2 linked regions of the Notamacropus eugenii genome follow. The protein of the gene in region 2 interacts with the protein of the main gene of each other region in a pairwise test. Links are inferred from orthologs where the notes say so. Each region holds a gene or a part of one and is shown on either strand. Other genes may lie near its edges.

Region 1 (7,575 bases), about 43 Mb from region 2:
GGCCTCTGCTAGTTCTCTCTCTCCTTCCCTGGAGGGTACCACTGTCTGCCTCTGGCAGCGTTGCTCGCCTAGGGGGGTGACTTTCTAGATGGAGGCGCCTCTCAGCGTTCTCCCTGGCCCTCAGCAGGAGACCTTGACCCCATCTTTTCCTCTCTTTAGCTGCCTCCTTCTCTCTTTCTCTCTGGATGCTCGCCCTCAACTCCTTCTCCCTCCTTAGGCTTCTCCTCTCGGCTCTCTCTGTGTCCCTCTGGATGGAGCCCCTCAGCTCTCGCTCTCTCCGTAGGAACCTCCTCTCGGCCCTCTCTCTGTCCCTCTGGATGGAGCCCCTCAGCTCTCTCTCCCTCGCTGTATACCTCCCCTCTGCCACGTGCGTTTGCCTCTGGATGGCCGCCCTCAGACCCTGCTCTCTCTGGATCTGCCTCCTCTCCGACCTCTCCCTCTCCCGGATTAGGTCCCTCAGGTCGATCTCTCTGGACTGCCGGCTTTCGATCTGCTCCCTGTCCCTCTGGACGCTCCCCCTCGACTCCCTGACCCTCACCCTCCTTAGCTGCCGGCCCTCCTCGCGCTCCCTGTCCTCCTGGACGGCGCTTCTCGGCACCCTCTCCCTGACCCTGGCGAGCCCGTCCCCGTCCCTCTCCCGTTCTTCGTTGAGGATGGCCCTGAGGTCCCTCTCTCTGACCGGGGCCCTGTCGTCGGGGCGCTCCCTGTCCTCCTGGACTGCGCTTCTCAGCACCCTCTCCCTGGCCCTGGCGAGCCGGTCCTCGTCTTCGCAGAGGAAGGCCCGGAGGTTCCTGTCTCTGCCGGGGGGCTCCCTGTCTCCCTGGAGGAACCTGACCTCTCTGAGCCTGTCGTCGCTTCTCCCCCAGTCCTCCTGGACTAAGCTGCTCAGCTCTCTGTCTCGTCTGAGGTACCTCGGCTCGACCCTCTCCCTCACTATCGGGACGTCCTCCCGTAGGTTCCTCGGTCGCGCAGGGTACCTGGCTTCGGCCCTCTCCCTCCCCACGGGGGCTTCGGCCCACAGTTCCCTGCCTCTTCTGGAGCACAGCCGCTGAGCGCTCTCTCGCTCCTGGATGGCACACCTGAGATCCCTCTCCCTCCAGTAATGCCTCTCCTCCAATCTCGGCCTCTCCTCCTGGACAGCCCCGCAGATGGTCCTCTCTAGTCCCTGACGCCTCTGCTGTAACCTCGCTCTATCTTCCTGGATGATCCCCCTCAGCGATCTCTCCCTCTCCTTGGATAGCTGCCCCCCCAGCTCTCTCCCTAGAGGTTCCCTCTCCTCAGCTCGGCCCTGTCTCCCTCGACGCCCCCTTCCCTTGGCTCGCTCTCTCCCCCTCGAACTGGACCGGTCAGGCGCGCACGCGCCGGCGCGCGCCCTGGAAAGAGCGGGGCGGGGCGGGGCAGGGCAGGTCGGTTCGGCTCGGTCCTCGCGGGGTTCCTGTCACCGGACACGCCGTTTTCACTCTCCTCCTTTGGCTTTCCTGACCGGCTGTCAGTTTGAATTACCAACGTCGCGCTCCTATTGGGGGGAAGCCTGGACACGCCTTCTTCCCCCATTGGAAGATTCTGGACACGCCTCCAAGTGAAAGTCTGAGTGGAGGAGAACCTTGCCTAGCCCGCCCCGGCAACCGTATCTGTTCGGTTCTGCTTGTCAGTTGGAAGAATTTGGCTACGCCTCCGATTTTGATTGGTGAACTTCAAGGAGGTTTAGGCAAGTCTTCGCTTTCGCCCCAGTGAAAGGGAGAGAGGACGCCCTTCGAGCTTCCAATTGGAAGACATTAGACATTCCCCTCAGATTCTTATTCTCTATTGGACAAAATTCCCCGCAACGCCTCGCCCCCTTGACACGATCCAATTGGTTCTGTCTACCCTTTCGAGTTCGCGTGTGGTTGCTGAGCGTCTTGTTCCCACCTCCCTAGTGTTTTTTTTTAACTTTAGTTGGAGGTCTCGAGGGGTGGGGCTCACTCCAAGACTCCGCCCATGCACGATAGGCCACGCCCTTTGATTTTCCAGCCCAACCTTGCTCTTGGGTAGGTGTGGAGGGGCGGGATCAGTCTTCTTTAATGGCTCCAGCGTCCGTCAGTCGAGAGACGGCGGACAATGATTGGCAATCCGGTGGGATTCCTCTCCGAGATCCGTCCGGGGAGCCGGCGGAGGCTCGCCTAGGGGGTGGGGGAGGGAAGCGAACCGCAAAGTAGCGGGTGGATGGGCGGGAAGTGAGAAGGGAAAGCGTTCCCGGGGCCGGGGGACCCAGCCGCGCCGGAGCCAGGTAAAGGCTCCTTCCTTCTCCCTTTTCTCCCTCCTGGAGAGAATCGCAGACTGGGGCGCGAAGGAGAGCGCGGCGTCCGCTGCCTGCTTGGCTTCTCCGCCATCCCGTTGCCCGCCGGCCGGCGGTCCAGGCTCCGGGAGACCCTTCCCAGATCCCTTGTGCACCGCCCTCGTCTTCTCCCGGCCGGCGTCCGGCGTGGCGCCCCCAGCGCGGCCCCCAGACCCCTCTTTGGACGTCCGCCCGCACCTGACAACCCCCCTTCATCAGAACGGCCCCGGCCCTTTCCCGGGAGGCAGCGCTGACTAATTACTCACTGCCTCCGGAGCCCGGCAGGCGGCACCGTCCGTCCGTCCTCCCGCGCTGGGCGCACGCCCGGGGCCGGCCGCCTCGTACCTCGCTCTCCCCAGCGTGCTCCCGGGAATTGCGCTTCCCTCCCTCGGACCAGCCCCCCGGCCTGGCCGGCCTTCCGGGGTCGGGCAGCCCTTCCCCGAGGAGCGCGCCCCTCCCGGGGGATCAGCCGAGAGCTTGCTCCCCCCGGCCAAGTGGAGTAGCCCACCTCGTTCCCCTCCGTTCCCCCCCCTTCCTGCTCCCGGGAGCCACGCCGGCCCTCCTCCCTCCTCGCTTCCCTCCTCCCTTCCTCCCGCTGCCCTTCCCTTCGACCGCGGGAAGGGGGAGACACAGGCGGGCTCCTCCGGCGCAGCGCAGCGGAGAGGGCAGGCGGGAGGGAAGGAAGCCGAGGGGCGTCCGAGGGTCTGCCCGCCCCTCAGCCCGCTATGCGCCCCGGCTCGTCTCTCTGTCGGGCACCTTTAGGGGGTGAGAAGCCGGGCCTGGAGAATGCGCCCCCGGGGTTAGAGGGCTCCGGGATCTGGAGTTGGGCGGCGGGGATGTGACTGAGAGTGCGGGTGGAGGAGGGGTCTCCCCTCTCGCGCGGGGCCGATCCCCGCAGGGCCGGCTGGGCTGGGCTGGAGCGGGGTGGCTGGGGGAAGGCAGGGCTGCCCTCCCGCGCTTAGCTGATGGTGTCCTGGCGGGGCTCTGCGGCCCCGTTTCCTGCCTCTGCCGGCCACATTTTTCCTCTGGATGTGGCTCGTACAGAGTAGGGTCCCCCCCCTTTCCCTGCAGACCTCGCCCTCCTCCTGGCATCCCCCCGCCTTTTACATTTGCTGCCAAGGGAAGCTAGTAACCAAAAACAAAACAACGAGGAGGAGGAAGGGGAGGAAAAGTTGTGCGCTAGTAGCTCGTCCCCGCTGGGAACTGCATCCGCACCCCCTCCCCCTGCCCTGGCCTTTTGATCGCCCTTTGATGTCTAGGGGAGATACTGGGGTTGGGGCGGGGTCCGATGGCCGCCTTCTAGGTCCAGGAAGGCTTTGGCTTTGGCTGGGGCTGGGCACGGCTCAGGTCGGGCAGGATTGGGGGCGGGTGGGGTGGGTGGCTGCGGCTGAGTCCCCGCAGCCCTCCCTCCCCTGGCTCCGAGCGAGCCGAGGCTTTGAAGGGATTTTGTCTCTTTAAATTCAGAGGGAGCTTGACCTTGCCGCACCTCCCTCCACCCCTCTGCTGCCCACCCTCCTGGGGTGGGGGTGAATGGGGCTTGGACTCCGCAGCCCCTAGTTTGGGAAGACGTCGCCTCCCCCGCCCCCGCCTGCGTATCTGTATCTGCACTCCCGCTGATACCCCCTTTTCCATCCTCTCCCCCACCCCCTTTTCCTGCATTTACAGGCAAGTGAACCGAAGAAAACGACTTCCGATCCTGCATTGCTGCAGCTCCCATTTGGGATCTGATTTGCATCATCTCAGGAGCCCGTAAGACCAAACCAAACCAAAAAAGAAGCAAGCCTGGGATCAGCCCTCCACGCACACACACAGACACACATAACACACACACGCACACACATACACACGCACACACACACGGACACACGCCCAGACGCACCCCCACACCCTCGCCCCGACACTGACTGTCAGGCGCACACGGATCCCCACACCCCCACACCATGGTGCTGTGCGGAAGGACTTCCACTCCCTGCCTGTGCCGTTGATGTCAGTCCCCAGGACAGCCTCCCGGCGCTGCGGCTCGGCTGGCTGATGCTGATGCTGCGGCTCGGGGCTCGGCACTAGGACACCGACGCCGCTGCTCCGCCGCTGCTCCGCCCCGGCCCCGGCCCCCGCCACCGCCAACATCTGCATGTTCCCGCCGCGCTGGCCGCTCGCTGCCTCCCCAGCCGGCAGCCTTGCTACGGACTGAGGCTCCCCGGAGCGCTGGCTTCTGCCGGGAGACCCAGCCGCCCTCGGAAGAGGAGATCTCGGGGATTTTAACTGGAGTGGGCCGGGTTTTTTTTCGGGTGGATCTATCCATTCGGGAGCTGAATTAGGAAAGAAACATGACGTCTCCGGCTAAATTCAAAAAGGATAAGGAGATCATAGCAGAATACGATACTCAGGTCAAAGGTAGGTGGTCTTTGAAAATTGCTGTATACGCCTATTCATATGTACTTGTATATACACACGTATATGTACACACACACACACACATATATACATGTTTAAATATAGTCTATTGTGGCTCGTCGGGAAGGTTTCATTTCCCTGGATAGAGCAGGTGGGGGAGTTTTTATTCAGAGAAGACTGTCGGGTGAGGGGGATGAGGGTGTGTACCACCCTAGGATGGCAGGGCTAGGGGCCACAGGCACTAATGGAAATTTTCCAGAGCTTTCAGGTCTGCCCTAGGGACCAGGCCATCACTGTAAGTGCCCCCTTACCTTGCCTAGACTGGGGGGTGGGGGGGCACGTGGTTCTTGAAAGGATAAAAGGGGTAATCTGCTTTTGAGTTTGGGTCTTCGGAATGATTGAAATCTGACAGGTGTTTGGAGATGCATTTCACAGCCTGAAGACTAATCTGGGCTGGAAAAGGCAACCTAGAGAAGGTGTTTTATTTGGAAAGCTCCTGCAGAGGTTGGGTTTATAAGGGTGGTTTTTTTCTTAGTGTTTTTTTTCCTACTGCAGCTATTTTAAACTGTAAGACTTGCTATGGTATTACAAAACAGTCCAGGAACATCAGCTGCTAGGCATACCTGCCCAGCTACATCTAGGATCAGCCTGCTATGTGGAGAGTAGAAATCAAGGCACCCAACCTCCATCCTTTCACCCTCCACCCTGAATTTGTATGTGGTGACATGGGTTTTGAACTGAATTTTGATTCCCCAGGGTTGTGGTTCTGGAAAAGGAAAAGAAAGATCTGTGTTTAACCCTTTGTTCTTTTCCTTCTTTATTTTGAAGCCTTGAATTATTTCCCTGCAAAACAGGAATGAAAAGGTAAACTTGTAGAGGCAACTGACCAGTTCTCAGCTCTCCTAGGTCCACTGATAGACTTGACTAGTGAATCCCCCATTCCTAGAGCTCCTTCCCAAATTCCTTATTGCCCTTCCTTCCCTGGATTCCTGCCTGTTAATGAGGAACACACAACCAACATTTGTGTGGCTACCCAACCTGGCTAGCTAATCAGTCACTGGAGATAGCCCTGTGCCTCAGTCTAGTGAGATATCAGCTGGGGGATGGGAAATAGGCCTTGAATGTTATAACACATGGCTGGAAATCTAGGTTTTCCTTTGTTTCAGGGTAGAGGGAAGTGTCCCCTCCTCCTCTCCCTGTATCTATGTTAGGAAACCTTTTTTATAACATCGAGGACTTAGGGAGAGCTTTGTAACCCTTCCTCCAACCAATGCTTGGGAGGCTTTAAAATGGGAAGCCAGTTGCTTCCTTCTGCTTGGAGAGGCTTAATCTGCAGTTCCCACCATGCTGGGATCTCTTTATCTCCTCAGTTAGCTCCCCTCCAGAGTGTGCTCTGAAGGGTCTCTCTCATCAATTGACTGAAAGCCCCAGTAGGTTTAGAGCAGGGATAGGGAGCTAACTCAATTCTAGATCCAGTTGTGCTGGGCTGGGAGGGGTGTGGCTTCGAGTTAGAATTGAGTGAGGTCTTGGCCTCTTGTCCTGGTTGATAAGCCCTGACTCTTTTTGCAAACAATAGGCCACTGGCCTTTTGTGTCCTGTCCAGATTGGCTGCGTTCTGCTGGTTGGAATCCCCCCTCTCATTATAACTAGGTCTGTGCCTCTCCTTCACATCCTGTTCAGAACTGTTTCCATAGAGTTAATAACTTCCACTTTTCCAGGTTCTCTTCAGAGTCACCCCATTTGACCAACGGTACAAAGTGATTTTACACATATATTTTTAGGAAGTTTTGGGACTGAAAGGTGTTGTTAATAGAATCATCTTAGCCACTGATCCAGCTGGTAAAGGAATGCTGGAAATTCTCCTGTGTGCTCAGAGAATTAAACACTCGCATATTTACAAACACTGCTCTCTGAGATGATGTAATGCAGTTGGATCTTTGAGGTTTCTCTTTAACCTTGCCACAGACAGCAGAGTTTTCTTTCGCTCCAGTCTTTTCCCATTGACATTGTGTAGACTCAAAGAATCTTGGAACTAGAAGGAACCAGAGAAATGATGGTCTAACACTCTTATTTTGCAGATCAGGAAACTGGCCCAGAGACTTAAAGGATTTACCCAAGGTCACACAGCCAGTTAAGGGCAGAACTGGGATAAGAACCCAGGTCTTTAGACTTTCCGTCCAGCTCTCTTTTCACTATCAAACACTGCCTTTGTTCTGCTAGGTACTAGGAATTTAAAAAAAAAAAAACCACAGTCTCTACCTTCAACGAGTTTACAATAGTTGTAGAATACAGAGTTAGTCCTTATTCTACTTGGGTCTTGCTTCGGAGTCATCTGAATGAATTTTAAATCTGAGGATAAAGACGAACTTTTTGAGACCCTCTCTACCTTCTTTGTGGGTTTTTTTTTCCCCTTCCCTTCCTACTCTTGTAGCCACGTGGGGAGGTATAGCACTTTTGAGACTGTAAGGCCCAACCTCATCAATCCCTTTGTGGTTTTGCTGGGGGCTGCCCTCTGAGACAGCCTAACTTGTCTCCTTCCTGAAGACAAGAGCACTGTTTCTTAGCTTGTGGGGATTCAGATTCCTTTAGTAAAGTTCAGGCTTTGGGTGTCTGGTCAGATTCCACAGCCATGCCTCTGGGGCCCCTTGGTTCCTAGGGTATTAGTGCCTTTGCTGAGATTTGAGCTGATACAATGCTGAGGTGTAGGTAACGTCACCAAGGATGGAAGGGTAATATTTGGGTGAGTTAATGTAACTTCATATAATCTAGGCTATTGTCATTTCTTTGCAGAGACCTCCCTGCCCTGTATGTACCCCATTCCTCCCCCACTCACTTATTTATATTCTTAAGGTTTTTATAGTCTCCCA
Region 2 (7,005 bases):
CATTATATGGAATGCTGGTCCTGGAGCCAGAAAGACCTGAGTTCAAATCCAGTCTCAGATACTTACTAGTTGTATGACCATGGACAAAACATTTAACCTTTCAGTTTCCTCAGTGGTAAAATAGAGATAATAATAGAACCAACCTCACAGATTTGTTGTGAAGATCAAGTGAGATAGTATTTATAAAATTAAAAAAAAACTCTTAAGAGAGTGCCTAGCATACAGGAAACACTATATAAATGCTTATTCTCTTTCCCTTCATGTGGTGAATGGGACATATAGGAGAAATGTTAGGAAAGTAAAATTGGTAGTGAGAGGATGAAGAGTCAAGGATGACACCTAGATTTTGAGTCAGGCTGACTAGTAGGATGACAGCAATAGGAAAGTTAGGGAGAGGGCATGGGAGAAGATTATGAGTTCAATTTAAGATGTCCACAGGACATCTAATTCTAGATGTTCAGTAGGCAATTGGAGAAGTTAGACTTGAGGTCAAGAGAGAGATTAGGACTGAACAAACAGATCTGAGCATCTTCACCATGGAGATGAAAACTGAATCCTTAGGAATTGATGAGATTACCAGGTGAAAATGTAGAAATGGAGAATAGCCCTAGGGGTAATCTGCTGTTGGTAGGCATGACCTGGTTGAAGATCAATTATAGTACTTGGCACACAGTAAGCCCTTAATAAATGTTTATTCATTCACTCATCAGTGGGGACTCAAGAGCTATGGTTTTGAATGAGTATTGATCTACAAAGTACCTCAGACCTGGGGTAGTTTTGGGGAGTCCATGATATTTGATTCTCAATGCAACACATGAAGTAGGTATCTCCTCCATTTTCTAGTGAAGAAACCTGAGGCTCAGATAGATGACATGATTAATTAATAGTATAGATGACATGATTTATCAATAGTTATGGAGCTGGTAAATATCAGAGGGGGGAATAAAATCTGCCTCTCCTAATTCTCATTCCTCTTCAGACTGTACTCCAGATTTCTTCTACTATTCTAAAACCTCACCATATCCCAGTTCTTCATCCATGAATCTTCACTGTAGCCTTGGAATTCACATATTGGAAGTACCCTCTACTCCTGTGGCTTCTTCCTCCTCTCATTGGATGGCTCCTCTTAGAACCTCTATTTAAGGAAGGCACTCAGGCCACTGATGTCTCATTCCTCTCTAGGTTTTGCTTAGGACTTTCTCTACTATGCCTCCCTCATGAGGTACCTTTTTCTCCTTCCAGCCCCTTTTCAACTTCCTTTTATGCATTGTCTTCTCTCATCAGAATGTAAGCTCCTTGAGGGTAAACGCTGCCTTTCTTTCTATTTCTATTCTCAGCACTTAGCACCGTGGTTGGCACATAATAAGTATTTAATAAATGGTAGTGGATTGACTGATACCAAGTCTAGTCTTCTCACTACACTAAATTGATTCCCTAGAAAGGCAAATATGTCTTGATAAGATCATTCAGATATTATTTGATGTTGCATTCTACCAGGGTGATGTTTCTGATATTCTTCTCCATCCCTGTAGGGACATATTTGGAAACTCCAGATGTCATATTCTAAATATTGCAGCCAGATGAATCTTTTAAAATCATGCCATGCTTCTGGACCAAAGAGAATGCAACACTTCTTTATATGAATAGAGTGCCATGCACATATCCATGAACACTGATTTTGATCATGATTAATTTCTATCTCTTGCTCAAAAACTTCTTATGGCTAATTGATACCTATAGGACAGGATTCAAGCTCCTAAACCTGGCATTCTGGATGTCACTATCTGAACCTTTCCAACCTTATCTACTAAGAGTCTTCCTTCTTGAACACTGAAATCTAGCTAAACCTTGGTATCTACAGAACTTCTAGTTTACCTTATTGATCCTTGTCTCAGCATGAGGTAGTTAGGCCACTACCATTCTCCAACATGAGTAAAGTGGTACATGGAAGGAAAGGAAGATCAGATACATTCATGCTGTTTATCCCCCCTAAAATGACCTTTCTCTTCCTCTCCATCCAGCTAAATCCTTTCCATTTTTCAGGCTTCAGCTTAAATCCTATCTTCTTTGTGAAGTCTTTCCTATACACAAGTGAACTTTCTTTCCCCTGAATTTTGTATACTTTTTAAATCCATACCACTTATTTGCTGAGACCTAATCACCCATTGCTTCCTTTTATTATTTCTTCCTGTGTCTAAGATCCTATTTTTTTTGACTGCCTTATATTGAACTTGTAAAGGTCGAAAACAGAGATGTCAAAAACATGGCCCATAGTATTCCTGGGTGCAGCTAAGCCAAATTAAAATGTAATTGGAAAATATTTAGCAAAATAAATAAAAATACAACAGACAACAACTAAGTCAATATGTGGTTGAGGAGATTCTTATGTATGGTTTAGTGACTGCCATTTTTTTTTTGAGTTGGACACCATTGCTTTAAAACCTTCAAATCTTTTTATATCGTTACAGCCAATGTTTTCTACTCATTCTTGTTATATTTTCCTTAATTGGAGTCAGCCCATTACTCTATCTTATTGAAACCTTTTTGATTTTTTTTTTGTCTTTTGACATGTTGGTTGTTGCTTTCTTTGACATGTCACCTGCAAATTTTACAAACATGTTATCTATACCTTCCTCCATGTCATTGATTAGAATGTTGAACAGCACAAAGCCAAGGACAGATTCCTTAGGATCTTCATTTGAGATCTCCCTCCAAGGTGGCATAGACATCCCCATCAATACTTTTGGGATCTGGTCAACTAGGTCTGAAATCACCTAACTGCCTTATCACTTGATCCATGTCTTTATGTGCTCCACTGCCTATAAGCGCACTTAAATGTTTGTTGAAGGAACAAATAAACAACCCCTAGGATGAGTATTCTGTTAGCCTAGGAGCTTAAGGAGAGGTCAAAGACATCTGGGGTAGTGACAGACCCACTGCAATGGCATTAGGAAATTGATGAGAATTCAGATGCCTGAATTTTGTTTAGGTTACTTTGATTGTAGGGTTGCTACTACCTATGCTCCCATTTTTTCCATTCTACCTTCTTCTGCCCATCTTGCCATTATCTTGTCACTATTTCCTTTTTCTACCTGGAACAGCACACTCTTTGGAAAAGAGACCAAATGTCCTTTTTAGGTGAGTTAACCCATTCAGCTTTGGAGCTCCATCCTGGGGTTCAGCTCTTGGTTTTCAAGTAACTACATCTAGCAGTCTCAAATTCACCCAAATCAGACATCTTGGAACATTTTGCCATTTCTTTTCCTGGGAATAGTGATCAAATCAGTACTATCAGTGCTTCTAGGAAAAGACAGGGCCATCCATTACTCATCATTCTTTATCTTTTCAAAATTTTTTTATTTATTTCCTTTCATAGTTCCCAATTACATTAAAATTTTTAAACATTCATTTTAAAAAATTTTGAATTCCAAATCCTCTTCTTCCCTTTGGTCCCTCCCTCACCCTCTGAGAAGGCAAGCAATATAGCAATTATACATGTGAAGTCATGCAAAACATATTTCCGTGTTAGCCATACTGCAAAAGAAAATACACACACACACACACAAATTAAGTGAAAAAATCTGCTTCAATCTGCACTCAGAATTCTTCAGTTCTCTCTAAGGAGATGGATAGCATTTTTCATCATGAGTCCTTTGGAAACCACTCTTTATTCTTGTGGCTTCTCAGACAAAAACTTCCTTCTTTGGTTATGACTCTCCTATATGTGTTGCTCCACACTGTTATAAAATAAGCTATTTGAGGACAGAAGCAGTTTTACTTTTGTATTTGAATCACTAGTACCTAAAGATGGGTATTAGGCTCTAGTGAACTACCAAGTAAGGAAGGTGAGGAAAGTCCCTCTACTAATGCAGGTCAACACCTCTTCTGCAATTTACTGTCTTAGGCTCTTTGTGATGCTCTTTGGAGTTTTCTTGGCAAAGACACTGGCCTGATTTGCCATTGCCTCCTCCAGCTGAATTTACAGATGAGGGTAAAAGCAAACAGGGTTATGTGACTTGCCCAAGGTCACACAACTAGTAAGTGTAGGAGGCCAGATTGAACTCAGGAAGATTTCTCCTGACTCCAGGCTGGGCACTCTATCACTGCCCCACCTTCCACTACTCTAACCAGTAGGCTATAGCTGGCACATTGCTGGTCTTAATATCAAGTTGTTGTTGTTTTCATTCAGTTAGTCATTCTTTTCCTCGAAATTTCCTCCCACTCTACTCCACCTCACACGCCTATGTTTTTACCCTTCCCAAAATTTGGAAGCTGGGGGATTCCCTTTTATTTTCCATACCATACTCTTCATATTCTTTCATCCTTAAATTCTATATCCTCGTTCTCTCATCCAAGCTCTTCTCTTCCAAGGTTCAGAGCTGGGATTTAGTAAAAGCAGAAACCAAACTTTCGGCAAGCCTGGGGCCCCCACCACCGAAGTTGGGGAAGCTCAAGGGGGGTGCTGGAGGTGCTTAGAGAGCTCGGAAATCTCACAGAAATCACGGTCCTGGAGAAGGAAGCAGTCTCCTTGCTGACCCCCATCCCCTTCTTCTCACAACTCCTCTCCCAGCTCTCGTTTCATGCCTCTCTGACTGAAGGGCCAGGCCCGGGTGTCCCCAGGGGAGTAGACCGTGCAGACAGCGCCGGAGAAACGGAGGGAGAGAAGAGGAGGAGGAGCCCCGCGTGGCTGGAGCCCCCCCCCTCCCCGCCCCCGGCTTCCCACTCCCCGAGCTCTGGCGGGCGTGGAGAGGAAGCAACGGGGGTAGCAGAGCTCGTAGGGAGGATCGATGCTGGGCAGGGGGCAGCGGGGTGCCCCGGCCGCCTGGGGCGAGCGCCCTGAGCAACTGAGGGGCAGCGGCAGAAGCAACAGCGGGGGTCAGAGCCCTGGTAAGAGACCTCCACAGCCACCCAGGACAGCACTTCGAGCAGGGTCCCTCCAGCTTCTCCCACTCCTCTCCCCTCCCCTGGACGGGCAAGGGTGGGGTGGGGGTCGGGCTGGAGCTTTCACCACGGTTCTTCGGAGAGGGATTCGAGCGGAGCGGGGAACTGAAACCGCCTAGCAGTTTGGGGGCTGGGTGGGTGTGGAGAAGTAACTGACATCCAGGAAGTGGCAAAGGTAACAATGGCAACTTCTACCGCCCCGTTACAGCGGGGAGAAACTGAGGCACAGAGCGTGCGGGGGCCGTGCCTAGAGACAAACAGGGTCACGGCTGGGAGTGCGCGCCTGTCCCTCTGCGGGTGCCCAGCACCGAAGCTCCTTTCCCTAACGAGTACGCGCTTATTTTCTTATTTGGTTTAAGAACCAGAGAAGGAGGGCACTCTGCCTGCGCGCTGGTAGGCGTTTTGTAAGTCAGCGTGGTTTGGGATCGGGGCTGGACCGAGTCCCAGCCTGCAGCGCTCCCAGTCCGCGGGTGGGTGTGTGGCTTTTCGTGTTAACCCGGGAACTGCTTCGCTTTGTTTTCGTTTAGATCAATTGCAGGAAACTGACTGGACAAGAGCCCTTCTCTGTGCATTGACCCCCTCCCTAACTTCCCTGTGTTGGCGGCCGCTGACGTGGGGGCAGGGCACGCTGGACTTAAGAGCACGGTAGTGCTAGGAAGGAGGTGGGAGGTTCCCCAACTTCTGTCGGATCAGCAAGAGCAGTTCTTAACCATGCTTCGATTTCTGGGGCCCCATCCCTACCGACTAGTCATGACGTGAGGCTCGGGAAATGAGGAGAATGGAAGAGGGAAGGTTAGAAAGGAGGTGATGAGAAGATTGAGAGAATGTAGTCCCGCTACCGACCCCAGACCCGGGCAACGTAAACAGTTTCATGGGGTGCCACATCTGATTTAACAGCACTACATACCGCTTACCAAGGTTCGCTGCAGGGGTCCCCGACAGGTGGTAAGAATAAACTCTTAGCGGCAGTGCTGATACTAGATTCATTAAAGGTAGACTATTCTGAAGAATTCAATTAACTCAATTCATTTCCTTCTGAAAGTGTCTGCAAAGGAATTCAAAAGTTTCATATGATGCTAAAGTGGGTTATGGTTATACTACCCTACAACAAACCCTCCGTCTTGACTCAGAGTTTTCTCTGGCTTTTCTACAGGCCTGGAATGCCCCCACTCCTCACCTCTGGCTTCCCTGGTTTCTTTTGAGTCCCACCTTGTGCAAGAAGCCTTTTCCAATTCTCCCCAAACTTAGGGAATTTCTACTGAGACTATTCCCAATTTATCCTATATTTATATATATTTTTTCATATGTATATATATATCTATCTCATGTTTGCACACTGTTTTATGCATGTTGTCTCACCCATCAGATTGTGAGTTTCTTGAGAGCAGGGACTGATTTTTGCCTTTCTTTTTATCCCCAGAGCTTAGTACAATGCCTGGCACATAAAAGAGCTTAATAAATGCTAGTTGACTGACATTCGAAAAAATAAATAGTGCAAGGCCAGTTCAATTTATTGAAAAGCCTAGATGATGGAATGTTGGAAATAACAATCATTTTAAGGTTCACAAAGCACTTTACATACATTTTCTCATTTGATCCTCACAACAATCCTGTGGGATTATTATTCTCATTTTATTGATGAGGACCTTGAGATTCAGAGAAGTTTGCTGACTTGGTAGGATTTCAATTCAGAACAGCTCACTTGTCCAGTTATTCCTCTAAACTAAGAGATGCTTGAATATTAGGCATCTAAAGCAACTGAGGAACCCAGTCTTAGTGATTAATATAGATTCTTCAAAGAAAAGAAACTGCAACATATCACAGAATGCTCTAAAAACCTAGCACTTAGTAAATATTTTAGAAACCGATAGGGCAGAAAGGCATTACAGATATGACTGTGCTTGTCACAGAGAGGAAATGACAGTTCCTGGTTTGGTTTGGAGAAGCAACTCAATAAAAATATTTAGAAATGAAAGGAGCAAGTTAATTGTAATCTTACAAGTTGTTTTTCCCCCAGTATGCTTGAAATGATCTTGTTGACTCTTTTTGTTTGAAAAATAGATG

What was found. The genes of interacting proteins can lie anywhere in the genome.
Region 1: the proteins of DISC1 (region 2) and SRGAP2 interact in a two-hybrid assay, tested with the Homo sapiens proteins (2 studies listed by BioGRID and IntAct). The link is inferred for Notamacropus eugenii from reciprocal best matches to the Homo sapiens genes DISC1 and SRGAP2.

Annotation. Positions count from the first base shown.
Region 1 is NC_092873.1:433,185,401-433,192,975, reverse strand, and holds the start of SRGAP2 (SLIT-ROBO Rho GTPase-activating protein 2), read left to right. Parts: upstream 1-4,568; 5' UTR 4,569-4,641; coding exon 4,642-4,708; intron 4,709-7,575. UniProt on the Homo sapiens protein: Postsynaptic RAC1 GTPase activating protein (GAP) that plays a key role in neuronal morphogenesis and migration mainly during development of the cerebral cortex. Regulates excitatory and inhibitory synapse maturation and density in cortical pyramidal neurons.
Region 2 is NC_092873.1:390,009,379-390,016,383, forward strand, and holds the start of DISC1 (disrupted in schizophrenia 1 protein), read left to right. Parts: upstream 1-3,990; 5' UTR 3,991-4,787; coding exon 4,788-4,887; intron 4,888-7,005. UniProt on the Homo sapiens protein: Involved in the regulation of multiple aspects of embryonic and adult neurogenesis. Required for neural progenitor proliferation in the ventrical/subventrical zone during embryonic brain development and in the adult dentate gyrus of the hippocampus.